Linked DNA regions of Callithrix jacchus. The protein of the gene in region 2 purifies or fractionates together with the protein of the main gene of each other region. This does not show direct contact. Links are inferred from orthologs where the notes say so. Each region holds a gene or a part of one and is shown on either strand. Other genes may lie near its edges.

What was found.
Region 1: the proteins of USP49 (region 2) and CETN2 purify together in Homo sapiens (affinity purification with mass spectrometry; 3 studies listed by BioGRID and IntAct, with this or other methods). This does not show direct contact. The link is inferred for Callithrix jacchus from reciprocal best matches to the Homo sapiens genes USP49 and CETN2.
Region 3: the proteins of USP49 (region 2) and CETN3 purify together in Homo sapiens (affinity purification with mass spectrometry; 4 studies listed by BioGRID and IntAct, with this or other methods). This does not show direct contact. The link is inferred for Callithrix jacchus from reciprocal best matches to the Homo sapiens genes USP49 and CETN3.

What each region holds. Positions count from the first base shown.
Region 1 is NC_133524.1:148,960,081-148,964,270, forward strand, and holds the start of CETN2 (centrin-2), read right to left. Parts: upstream 2,801-4,190; 5' UTR 2,754-2,800; coding exon 2,751-2,753; exon of another isoform or gene 2,615-2,750; intron 1,860-2,614; coding exon 1,701-1,859; intron 1,381-1,700; coding exon 1,252-1,380; intron 847-1,251; coding exon 709-846; intron 144-708; coding exon 54-143; 3' UTR 1-53. UniProt on the Homo sapiens protein: Plays a fundamental role in microtubule organizing center structure and function. Required for centriole duplication and correct spindle formation. Has a role in regulating cytokinesis and genome stability via cooperation with CALM1 and CCP110.
Region 2 is NC_133505.1:50,397,174-50,401,407, reverse strand, and holds the start of USP49 (ubiquitin carboxyl-terminal hydrolase 49), read left to right. Parts: upstream 1-1,434; 5' UTR 1,435-1,672; intron 1,673-2,812; exon of another isoform or gene 2,813-2,865; intron 2,866-4,234. UniProt on the Homo sapiens protein: Deubiquitinase that plays a role in several cellular processes including transcriptional regulation, cell cycle progression or innate immunity.
Region 3 is NC_133503.1:120,374,700-120,378,971, reverse strand, and holds the start of CETN3 (centrin-3), read right to left. Parts: upstream 2,801-4,272; 5' UTR 2,705-2,800; coding exon 2,688-2,704; intron 856-2,687; coding exon 720-855; intron 1-719. UniProt on the Homo sapiens protein: Plays a fundamental role in microtubule-organizing center structure and function. As a component of the TREX-2 complex, involved in the export of mRNAs to the cytoplasm through the nuclear pores.

The sequences.
Region 1 (4,190 bases), on a different chromosome or scaffold from region 2:
GCAGGCACTAAATCTAGTTACATGTGCTTGCAGTAGAAAAGAAGACACTGATCTCAATAAAGGCTGGTCTTTTTCATGATGCGCAGGAACTCTTGCTCACTGACCTCTCCATCTCCATCTCGATCAGCTTCATCAATCATTTCCTATATGACAGTAAATATTCAGGTTAGCTTAATTTATAAACTAATTCAAAAAGGTGATTAAGGAATAGACTTTTTTTACAGTCAGGGTCTCTATGCTGCCCACACTAGTGCCAAATTCCTGGCTTCAAGTGATCCTCCTAACTCAGCCTCCCAAAGTACTGGGATTATAGGCATGAGCCACTGTGCCTGGGAAGCAATAGACTTTAATAAAGCTATGTGAAAAGATCATCGTAGTCCACCCAATGCCAGTATGCTACTCCTGATAATAGCCTGGTTCCTGAATAGTTATTTGAAAACCAAGTCATATTTTGTGAAACATATCACCTGGGAGGGAGCTTGAAGACTGCCTTGACTAGAGGGATTCCTGGAACCCAAAATAGTAAGTAAGATTGTGCACCTGTGCATTTTTCTAGAAGCAGGGCTCATAGGTTTGTCTGACTATTAAAGGGACAAGAGTCCACTGGCTTTCCTTCAAAGAGATGCTCACACGAGGAAAAATGTAACAGAAAAGGCACAGAAGGCTGAAAGGTGGGAATCTGAAGTTCCAGTGTGAGGCATTACAAACCTGCAGCTCCTCATCAGTCAGGTTCTCACCCAACTCCTTGGCCACGCGTTTCAGATTTTTGAACGAAATCTTCCCAGTTTCATCATCATCGAAGAGCTTGAAAGCTTTCAGGATTTCTTCTTTGGTATCTTTCTCAGACTTAACAAGTAGAACATAAAACACATGAGTAGGGAGACACCACGGTTACTTGTGTCCTGTAGCCCTGCCGCTGCCCAGTCACCCTCTCCTTTTTAACAATAACTCGAGTCTAGACTTGCAGCCAGTGTCAGGAAGCCCATTTTGGCCTCAGAGAAACACCAGGCAAGCCAGGCACTCCATCCAAGGTGACATTTGCTCCCTATCCCACATCTGTTTCTTAACTGGTTTGGAATTCTGTGGGATGAGGTATCTGCTTGGAAGTCTTGAGAGAGAAGCACAAGGTAACATGACGGGAGGGCAGGCCTGAACTGCTGTGTGCTCACATGACTGTTTTAACAGGCAGATGCCATGGGCCTCTGCAGATGACTGGGGCTCTGTACCATGCCAATTGTCTTAACTACTTACCATTTTCTGGGTCATCACAGTTAAAAAGTCACCAAAGTTCATTTTTCCTGTCCCTTCCTTATCAATTTCACTTATCATTTTCTTAATTTCTTCTTTCTTGGGTTCAAAGCCCAGGGCCCTCATTGCCACCTACAATGAAAACAGGATTGTCTCAATATACACATCTAAACTATAAGAAGCAAAAATAACAGTGTTGAGAGCATTAAGTCCGTATCTGATGTGATCATGTTAATATGATTCGGGAACACTTTAACACAGATCTAATTGATATCTGCAATCCATCTGATAATACTCAAGGTAAGTAAAGACAGGAAAACAGAGCACAGTACAACCTCCCCTGTTACTTACTGCAGGGAGAAGAGGGCAAAAGGGGTAGAGAGGTGATAAAGAGATGACAAGGAAGAGGGAGAGGAAAGGCAGGGCAAACGGCAGGAATGCATAGAGCTTGCCTTAAGTTCCTTAACATCTATGCTGCCAGTTCCATCTGCATCAAAAAGATCAAACGCTTCCCGGATCTCCTGCTTCTGCTCTTCTGTAAGCTCAGGCTTAGGACTCATTCTTTTTCGCTGGGCACTTGACGCCATGTTTGCCTTCTTAAAGCTGGAGGCCTTTATATGTTATGCAAATACATAAGCACAATAATATATAATACAGTCCATATTTACATAACATAGTTACAGACACCTATATGTATTTTTAAAGTCATTTATAACCAATTCCAAAGCTTTGCTTAACAAGAAATATCACAGGGTTTACTATTGTTTCTAGATGCAGGGAGATCATTTGTTCAGTAAGGATATCTCTTATTGAAAATCATCCCAAAAGAGAGCTAGTCAAGAAACTGACTGTGAACAACTAGAGATAATCAGCTCTTCCCGAATGTGGGGAACCTGGTTCTGGAAACAGCCTTAAAATGCCCACTGCCAGTACTCCGCTTCCTAGTAAGTACTCTGACTTCCCAATTACTTCTAGATTTGCCCAAATATTAGGAAGTTAAGATGTATATCGTGTCAGTATCTAATAATAAAACTCAATCCATCTGGCACCTTCGTGCCTTCTCCAAGAAGCTAAAGCATCCCCTTAATGCCCCTATATTTATATTGTAGAAAACATTTTCAAAGAAAACAATACACCTTCTCCCAGTTCTGTGGGGAAACTTTGGCAGAATGAGGCGGCCAGGAGGCCAAGGTCTGAGAGAGTCAGGGGTCTGTGAGGGATTCGAGTCTTTTTTGCCCAGGGAGGGTCACCGAGGGGACCAGGGAACGCCAGGGGAGCCTGAGGGGCGGGTGTGGGCCTGTCGTGGGTGAAGGGGAGGCAGTAGCGAAGCGCAGGCCCAGTAGGTTGGTTAGCGCCTGTACCCTACCCTTCCGGGAAAGAGCTCAAAGGAAGGACTGTACGCCAAAGCCGAGAAAGGCGCAGGAGAGGCGGCGTGGCACAGCCGGGGCTTGGGAAGGGCTCAACCTCTGGGCGTGGGGCGCGACGGAGCGGCCAGCACTCACCATAGCCAAAGGACTCCGCTGCCGGTTGTTAGGCAACCGCAGTATACACTGACTCGGCCCCGTTCCCACCGCCCCCTGCGCGCAGCCCCGCTCTCCATTGGCCGTCTTCTGGCCCTCGCCGCTCTCCATTGGTTCAGGGCCGAAGTGGGTGGAATTAACCTGGCAAAGCCCTGGACCAGCGCGGGGAGGGGCACGCTGGCGACACAGGCCAGTCATAACTGGGCAAGATCACGCCGCGAGCGCCAATTGGCTTAGCCAACGCTGAGCTGGGCCAATCCTCTTGGTGGAGGAAGCTCGGCTGATTCTCGTCTCACGCGGGAGGGTAGTAAAGGGTGGCGGTCTGAGGCTAGAGTTCGGTGGGTGCAGCCTGCTTGCGAGCTGAGGCCAGCCAGGGGGGCGCCTACAGACGGGTAAGAGTCGTGGTCTTGCCCTTGGAAGTCACCTTGTGTCAGCGACTGGGCAGGGCGGGAGAGTGAAGAGCTGCGGGGCCTCCCGGGTCGGGTGCTTTCTGGGCTGACCTCAGGCTGAGTTAGGGACCGAGTGCATCAGAGCCCCCAGATGCTACTGACCTTGCGTGTTGGAGCAGGGGCTGTACTCACGGGGCAGCTGAGACCCAGAGAGGGGAAGGGGTGTGCTGAGCGTCGTTGCAGAGGTCGGACTGCTGGTACCTAGGAACTGAATCCAGCCGAGGTTCGCTCTTTGAGGGTGGCCCTTCGAGAGCACTCCCAGACTGCCCCAGAAGTATAGGCCCCAGATCAGGTTCCAAGAGGGGATCACTTTAGGTCTCACGTGGCTAAAAGCAGCCCAGGACGGTGAACTGGGGGCTTTGGGAACGGACTTTGAAAGGAGTGAGGGGGATGTGAGCGAGCATGAGGGGCCGGGAGAGGTCATCAAAATATACTCTTTTTGACACCCACTCAAGACAGATAAGGAGGAGCATTCCAGGCCGAGATGCCCTCATAAGCAAAGTCCCAAGAGTTTTGGAAGTTACTGGTATGCTTGGAGAATTCAAAGGGAGCATGTGCAAGGGCTGTGGACTGAGATAGACCTGCAGAAAGGGAGCTGGAGGTCCAATTTGCCCACTTTCGCTATTCCCGTGGCTTTCGGCCTTCACCTGTCTTTCCTCCAGGCATTGGGGCAGTAATCTAGGGAGGCAGAGGGCAGAGAGTAAGTTTCTCAGGCAGAGAAAGGCCCGAGGCTTATTAGAACCTTTTAAATGGAGCTTCTGCCCTTTGCCCTCTTCCTTCTTCAGCAGTGAACAGATTCATCATCAGCCTCCCAAGTAGTCCGAGCCAGAGTTCTCACCATGCCCTCTGCAAAGCCTATTACTCTTCTCTCCTCAGGCTCACTCCAGCCCCACAATACTGGCTTTGTCGTTGAACCTCATGTGCCAGCCACACTCCTGCCTCTCATTTTTGTCCCAGTTGTTCCCTCTGCCTG
Region 2 (4,234 bases):
CTGATGTAATACATGCAGCACTGAGAAACTTTTCCTCCTGTATTGCTATTCTGGGAGCATCCCTTCCATTAGAAGTTTTAACTGTCTCCCAAATTCTTCACTCTGCAAAAGCACCTTGTTATGGAACATTGAATAAGTAACAATCCTTCTTCTCCAAGAATTTTTATTGGGGATTGCTGAGTAAGGGAATAAGACAGATAATTAGAGTTATAATGTAAGAATTCCTTAAAAAGAATTATGTTAACTCATAGACGACAAAGGGAGTGCTAAATTCTGAATCTAACTCGGAGGTCTTGAACCTCATGATAAATCAACTCCACTTTCTCTTCTTCTGTCAAACCTCTTTTAAATGTGCAAGTTATTAATAAATTGCCTTCACAGCGCTTGGCTCCAGGCATTGTAGTTTTCCCCCTTCCTATTGTGTGTGGTGGTGTTTTTTGTGCTTACCTAGTTCTCCTATTTACAGGTGTGTAAACTTGAGCCACTACTGTAGCTAATGTCCATTTCTTTCACTTGTTCTTATAATTAAATGTAAGTCTTCTTAGCTATGTGTTGGGTGTTGAAACTGTTGATCTTATTTTGGGTGACATCCATTTCCACCGCCCCCGCCCCGCCCCCGGAAACCATCCCGCAAGGGCTGTTGTTCTGTTTCCCAATGGTGTCCATCCCCATCCCTCTAGAAAGAAGTCCTTAGGACCACTACCAACTCAGTCTGGTTTACTTCCCAAGCCCCACAGTCTGCTGACCTTCAGTTCCAGCAGCGATCCTCTTCCTTGGGGGGGATTTCCATAAAACAGCTGAATCTCTCTTGGGTCATCTGTGGCAAAAGCCAGACACGTGCTCGCCCGCCTGGGAGCCAACAGTAACTTTTGCAAACGCTGCCTTCGGAAACCCCACAGTTTGCGGGCTGCTGCTTTAGGAACAACACAGAAATAACGTCTTTTAACAGAACAAAACATATGGACAGGATAGTGAGAAAGCCTTTGTCCTTCGCGGTGGGGAGAGGTATTTTAAAGGTGAACCCAAAAGAGTACGGGGAAACCCGTGTAAAATGCCTTTACAGTTCCCCAGGAAGAAGGGGGCGGAGATGGGTCTGGAGCGTCTCTGGCCCTTTAAGGAGGAGGGACCAGACATAGAGTCTGTACCTTTAAGAGTCTCTTTGTCTGGAAACCTTCTTATTTACCCTGTTGTGCTTCAACCAAACTTCGACCAGCCATTCACAACGCCTCCTTACGCCGCCGCCTCTTACGCCAGGCTCAAATCCGCCGCGCGTTCGTGGCTGACCCTAAACTTTGCGCCTGCGGCGCGAACCCTCGGACAGGGTGCCGGTGCCGGGGTCGCGGCCCAGCGCTGCGCCGTTGGCGCAATGCAGGGCCTGAGGGGCGGAGCTCCTGCGGGCGGGCCAATAGGCGGGCAGGGGGCGGGGCCGAGTTCGGTTGTCTCGCGCCCTGGTGACAGCTCGCGCGTGCTGATGATGGCGGTAAATAGAGGGGGCCGGGGGAGGGGACGGAGGAGGTAGGGAGGCAGCAAAGTGGGTAGCTCCAGGGGTAGGGGGACGGGGACCGGGGAGGCCGCGACGGTCAGGGAACCCATTCTAAGACTCGGAGGCGGGGACAGGAGTCTCCGGCTTACTAGCCCTCCCCTTTAAAGAAGCAAAATCCTCACACACCGGGTGAGGGGCGACAAAGGCAGCGCGCGCCTTGCGCCGGGAGGAGCGGCGGCAGGGGGCGGGACCGCGGCGCCGGGGGGCTGGGGGCGCCCGGGGCGGGGGCGGCAGGAGGAGAGAGCCGGGAGTCGGGGAGCGCCGGCGCTTTATTTTGGCGGGGTGGGCGACGACTGGGTTGGGGGAAAAGCCTTGAAGGGAGAGAGGAAGAAAGGCTTGGGGGCAATGGGGAGAACCGGGTTTAGAATGAGATGAGGAGGATTAAGGGGAGAAAGGGTTAGAAGCCTGGGAGAGCAGGAGTGAGAAAAAGCCAACCCAGAAGGTAGGAAGGAGGCAAAAGCCCGGGTGGGCGTTAAGGAAGCCGGGCAAGGAATGAGGTTAGGGCTGGGAAAAGGGATCCTGGGGTTAGGTGTAAGAGCGGGGGTTTGAAAGGGAAAGCTTTGTAGGGGGTGGTGTTGGGGTGCGGGATACCGGGGTAGGAGTTGGAAGTGGAAGACTAGGAGGGGCAGAGCTGGGGTAATAGTTGGGAGTAGGGAAGAGAGTGATTAAGAGCCAGACGTGACAAGGGTGTGAACTAGTGCGGAGCGAGATGAGCTGAAGGACTAGGACCAGCGGTGTGGTGGGAACTGCTGCTGAGGTTCTGCGAAAGGAATGGGTTAGTGGGTGGGCGATTGGTGTAAATTCTGTAAAGTGAGGGAGGGCAAATGAGACCTGGACTGGAACCAGGTGAAGTCAGGAATAAGAGTGGTGGAAGGGCGAAAGGAAACAGATAAGAGATGGGTGTCTGTAGAACAATTCTAGGACCAGAAGAGCTGAAAGGAGACTAGAGTTAGGGTGTAAGAAGTGATGGCTGTCTGGGACAAGGATAACTGGGGAAATACGTTAACTGAAGAGGTTCAGCAAGATCCAAGGTGAAAACAGTGAGGTGAAGAGACACGGCTAAAAGCAGACGGTGAGAGGAGCAGGAAGAGATGGGTCCCAGGATTTAAAGGATGTGATGGGGAGTAAGGGAAGAGAAGGGGGCTAAGGGAAGCTGAGAGAGTCCTGATGGATGTAGAATGGGGGTAGACTGCACAGGGGTGGGAATTGAATGTGAGTGTTGTAGGTAGTTGCTCCGGAAGGTCTGCAAGGGTCAGGGCACAAATGTTGTAGTGAAAGATCAAGTGTAAGAGAACCTTTGGTGCAGAAGAGGAGGAACCATGGTGAGTGAAAGGGGACCTAGAGACAGGGGTAAAGACTAAAAAAGTAAGGGCAGAGGTGGGGGGGGATTGTGCAGGAAGAATTCTTTGTTGAGAAGAGAACTGTATATTAAAACTGTGAATCCTTTTGTCCCTAAAAGTAGGAAATTCCAGAAAGCTCTTTCTCTCTTCAAGGAATCTTGAATCCGCTTCCACCTTTCATTGCTTTTGATTTGATTTTCCTGTCCACTTTGAAGAAATGAAACTCATTTTGATTTGATTTTTGTATAGATAATAAAGCATAAACTCTGGGTGTTGAAAACCTCTGCATTTCACTAGTGTTGTGATAATGGGGGGCAAGGGTGTGTTTGTTTAGAGTGTACCCGTGTGATGTGATAGTTTTGGTGTTGTAGGAGTATTGTACCTGACAAGTGCTGGGCTGTGTTTTATGGACAGCGTTTCATTTTCATTTTCAATGGAGAAAGCGCTGTTGTTGGAATAGAAAGATGAGAATCTGTTTGTTTTGATTAATCAACCAGGTTTCTGCTTATTGTTTTCAGTGGTGGGAGAATATCGAGAAATCATTTCAGAGAAAGGCAAATAAGCAACCAAGGAAGTTTGCTGAGGGAGAGATTTAAATCAGAGCTGAGGGCTTTGAGTTCCTGAGCTGCCTTTAGCTTTGTGTGGGATGTTTCATGCTGTAGTTGGTAACTCACCCATTTCACAAAATGGAATAAAGAAAGGGAGAATTGTAGAGTAGCGGAGGATTTTAGAGTGGCAGACTTATGTTTTAGGGTAAATAATGAATTTATGAATAATTTTGATGGCAAAACATCTCTATAATATTGCATGCTGAGTCTTTGGACAGCTCCACTGCCTTTCATGTTTTATGGTTATGAATAAAGAAGGCCAGATTAATATTAATTTTCTAAAGCCTTTTGATTTTTAAGACACCATTAGAAATGAAAAAGAAGATAAGAAATTTGGGGCAAAATTTTGGTTATTCTTAACTTAGAATTTTGTTTTAATGATTTTAATCAGAAGCATTTACATTTAGCTAAGAATATGAATGAATATTTGTTTTGCATTTGATGGTACCAAAAGATAGCATATAATTTAGGGAAAAATGCAAACTGTTGTTGAGAATCTTGATTGGGGTTATTTCATTGTGTGCACTCAGATGCACAAAGATACTTTTTTTTTTAAAGTTGTATAAATTTTGGATTGCCACTCTTTTGTTGGTGTTTGTGTATAAATAGTAAAGATTAGGCTTTTGATATTTGTAATAGTTAACAAAGATTAGATTTTGATTTGTGGATATGAGCAACAATGGTTATTAATTTGTATGAATAATTTAGAAAACTCTTTCTGCATTCAGCTACTGTGTTGGTGG
Region 3 (4,272 bases), on a different chromosome or scaffold from region 2:
CTACCCCCTACTTGGAATTCTTATGCTTAAAAATCCCTTGCAAAATTAGAAAAATTAAAACACATACTTATATTCACCTATCCATTAAGGCTATTAAAAATCTGAAAATGCTATCTTTCCCACTGTGCTAAAAGTCCCATTCTACCCTAAACCCAAATCTCTCCCTATACCTCGACAAATATAATTTACAAATCTCTCCCCACATCTTGACATTTTAGGTATTAAAGTTGACATTTTACCCATCAGCATGTGTCAACATCAAACAGCACTTAAATTTGCACCAGAGAAAGTGGATTGAGACTATGTTACTAACAAATCCAATTTTTAAGATTAAGAGACAACACTCCCTCAATCTGAATACAGTGAGTCACCAAGAAACAAAACAAAAACAAAAACAAAACAGTGAAAAGAATATGGTAAGAATAGTTTAAATTCCAGTTTGAAATCCTTTAATTATGTCAGTGAAAAATAAGCACCTTCCCTAGGAATATATTTTTACATTTAAAATACTATTCATTTTATCATGTGAAAAAGACTTTCTAAAAACTGTTAGGGGTTCTGTTCAGTTTTATTATAGCAACTAACTAGGAATGCTTAAAATGCCTTCATAGTTCCAAACCAGTTTAGTCAAAATAATTATTTAGAAATGCAATGTAAAGCAACTGTCAAAATGCAAATCATTTTAACATAAAAACAAATATTTTAAAGTATACCATTACCTTTAATTCATGGTAATCTATTGCTTCATCTTTGTCTGTATCAAATAGTTCAAAAGCATCTTTAATTTCTTGTTTCTGTTCCTCAGACAATTCTCGTCTTTTTTTCCTCTTTGTTTTATCTACTACAAGCTCGCTTCTATGAAATGGAAAGAAAAAAATCCTTAAATTAAAGGAGAATTAAAGTCTACTTTAATTCTCTTTGCTAACAGAAATTAGCCAATAATTATTTTCTAAATTTTAAAAAAGAAAGTACTTTGGAGAAAGATAGGGAAACTTTCCCTTTATGAGTCAATGCCCTGTTTACTCCATAATCTAAATTGCTATAAATCTGAACTTCCCAAAACTAAAGATTGTTAAAGATTAGTAAAATAAATGAGGACCATACTTTTCCTTTTCCCAGCTTTTTATTTATTCCCACTAATGTTACTGTGGAAAAAACAAGAACTGTGAATAAGTAACATTGCTTTTATATCTGAAACTCCAACCAACTCTAACCAAAAAACAAAATACTCACATTATTCTAAGACTGTTAAAGAAAAATAACTCCAAACGAAACCAAAATTCATAGTTGACAGTCACTATATGTCGGTTTACTTTTGATAGCTCTTATAATTAAGTTCGTAAAAGTACTACAAAAACATACAACCGAATTAACTTAGTATTTTAGCATTGTTGGTTAAAAATGTTTTTAGATTACACCTTTCTAACAGTTTGGCAATTTGTCATTTCCTCCATCAATATTAACAAATCATTCAAAATATTAATGAGTCTAAACATGACAAATATTAGATGCCAAAAAAATACAATATTTGTGCTTCATTCTATATAAAAATGTGAAGAGTCTTGTCTCACTTAACATGTAAACTGGAGGTTAAACTTCTCATAAACAAACTCTGGAAAGCCTTAAAGAAAAAAAGTAATTTTTTTAAAGCCAGAAATATTTTCCTTTAAGAGTTGCCCATCTAAACATGCTCCAAATTTTCACAGGGGGATGCAACACTGGTATAAGAACAAGTTTGAAACCTATAATTCGATAACACATTATCATGTAAAAACCAGTTGACTCTATTTAAAACACGTATCTAGCTGCATTTGAAAGTCATTTTGGTCTCTGAAAGCTAGGAAAAAAAAAAAAAAAAAGGCCAGGAAGTGACCAGTAGGTGCAGTATGACAAAGCTGATGAAGCTTCCTTTCATGAAACCTGACTTGACACAAATTTGGGTATTCCTGGGGTCAGTCTTTTCCTTCCTGAGACTTCTAGAGGCCAAGTCCAGAACCGACCCACCCCCTGACCCCATTCAAGGGTACGATTATCCCTTAGCAGAACATGGAACATTTTTATTGTCCTAAGTATATAGTTTTACGGTACAACTTCTACAAAGGGTGAGAGGGCAACATACAGAGGGTTAGAGGTTAGAACTGAAAGGCAAAGAAATGCAAGAAGCTGAGGAAATCCAAGTGACAGTTTGCCAATTAAATTCACTAAAATGGGTCTCCAACTACACCATAAGGCAACGCCCTGAGAAATGAGGAAGAAGGAGTTTTGTGTTATTGCCAAAATTTATAGGTGGGTGATTTGCATTAGCAGCGAAGCAGCCGAGGCGGGGCCCTGGCCAGCTACACGAATTGAATGAAGGGATGTTCCGCGGCCTGGTATCTCACAGAAACGAGTAAAAGCCTCGCGATATTTCATTCCCTCCGCGCTCGCAACTAAGCCCATCTTTTTGGCAGTCCAAAGCCCTACGCGCTGACAGAAATAACTTCCTCAGTAGAAACGCACTGGACTCGATCCCTGCAAGGCACCAGGGCCCAGAGGGTGACTGGTCCGGGTAAGCTACCCTAGGCTCCTTTCCCGCGTCCCGAAACTGCATCCCCTACTTCGCCTCGGCCCCAAACGGCCTCCCTTCCACACCCTCCCTGCGTCCCGCTCCGGGGTGTGGAGAACACTGCCGCCTCCTTATTACCGACCTCAGAGCTAAACTCATTATCTCTTCGGACAGAGACGTTCCTCTCAAGAACGATTTTAACCCCCTACCCAAGACAGCAAGACTTTCACAGCCGTTCAACAGACACGAACGACCTTAGCGGCCTAAGGGACCTCCCACAACATAGACACTTTTGAGCTGGATTGGTTGAAAAATCTCCACGGTTCTGCCTATTCGGGCGGAAGCTTCACAATTCTCTGTTTTCATTGGGTACGTTTTACGTCAATCAGAGAAAAATGTTTCTGTCCTTCACCCACCCATTTCTCGGGCTGCTCTCGCCCTTCGGATTGGCTCGATGCCTTTTTCCCCGAATCCTTTGCGGGTCCGGCCTCTGATCCCTGCTGGATGTGCCCGCGGTGGGTGGGTGCTAGTCGTGTCTTGCTTGAAGCCCTGAGGTCTGTGGGGCCGACGTTCGGAAACTGGACACACAGCTCCGACGGAGGGAAGGGAAGGGACACGCTGCAGGCCACCCTCCGGCTAGGAGGGAGTAGCTGAGGAACAAGATCTGCGAAACTTGGCTCTGCTCTGTTCTAAAACTTTGGATGACCTCAGTACCTGGGGAAAGTGTTTAAAATGCAGATTTAAATGCCCCTTTCCCCATTCTAATTTCAGTAGGTATGAATCTTCGTTTTTACCCCTCACAAGCCTTCCAGGTGATTCTGAGGCAGGTACTGTGACTATACTTGGATTATCACAGGGTTAGATTATTAGGCTATTTATGGTGAGGCAGTATCTAAACCACCCTTCCCTTTCGGTTTCCTCCTTTGAACTGTTTAAAACGGATTTATTCGTTTCTCTCTCTTATTTTACAGTGCTGTAAGCTGTTTATACACATGAGACTGTCTTTACTACCAAACCAAGTCTCTTGAAGCTCACTTGAATGTCTTCTTATTCATCTCTCTTACTAGGTTCAATTTCTTGAAGGCCATGATTATTATCTGTTTAAGGCTTTTCTTTGTACCTAGTAAAATGGTGCATAGGTGCTCTGTAAATTGAGTGGAATCTTTTGAAAACCCGCAAAATACTTAGCTAAACAGCAGATCTCATAAACGTGAATAAAATAGCCTGAGGATGGGAGTTGAAGGCAGAGGATAGTATAAACATTACATGTTTAAGGGATGTATATAATGGTTTAGAGAAGAGAGAGAATACAAGATAGGCTTCTTAAAGGAGGTGGCATAAATATTAGACCTAGAAAGATGAGCTAAATTTGCATAAGTAAGGATAGTATGATAGAACAAGCTAAAAATTAGTTAAGGTTTAGCACCCCTAAAAATCAAAGTGGAACTTTTATTTTGTTCATACTGTAAATTTTAAGGTACTTTTATAAATCGCCTTTGAGTTCTAAAAGGAAAGAGAAATTACAGTTACTAGAACCTAATGATATTGAAAAAAACTATATGTTAACATTCTAAGATACAGACCAAGCTATAGGAGAACATTATTTTAAAGAAGAAAGGATAAAAATAAACCAAGCATTTATCTGAAGATGTTAGAAATGAAGAAGAAAATTGTATAATTGAAATTAGAAAGAGGAAATTAGTAAAGATAAAGTTTGAGAACAATGT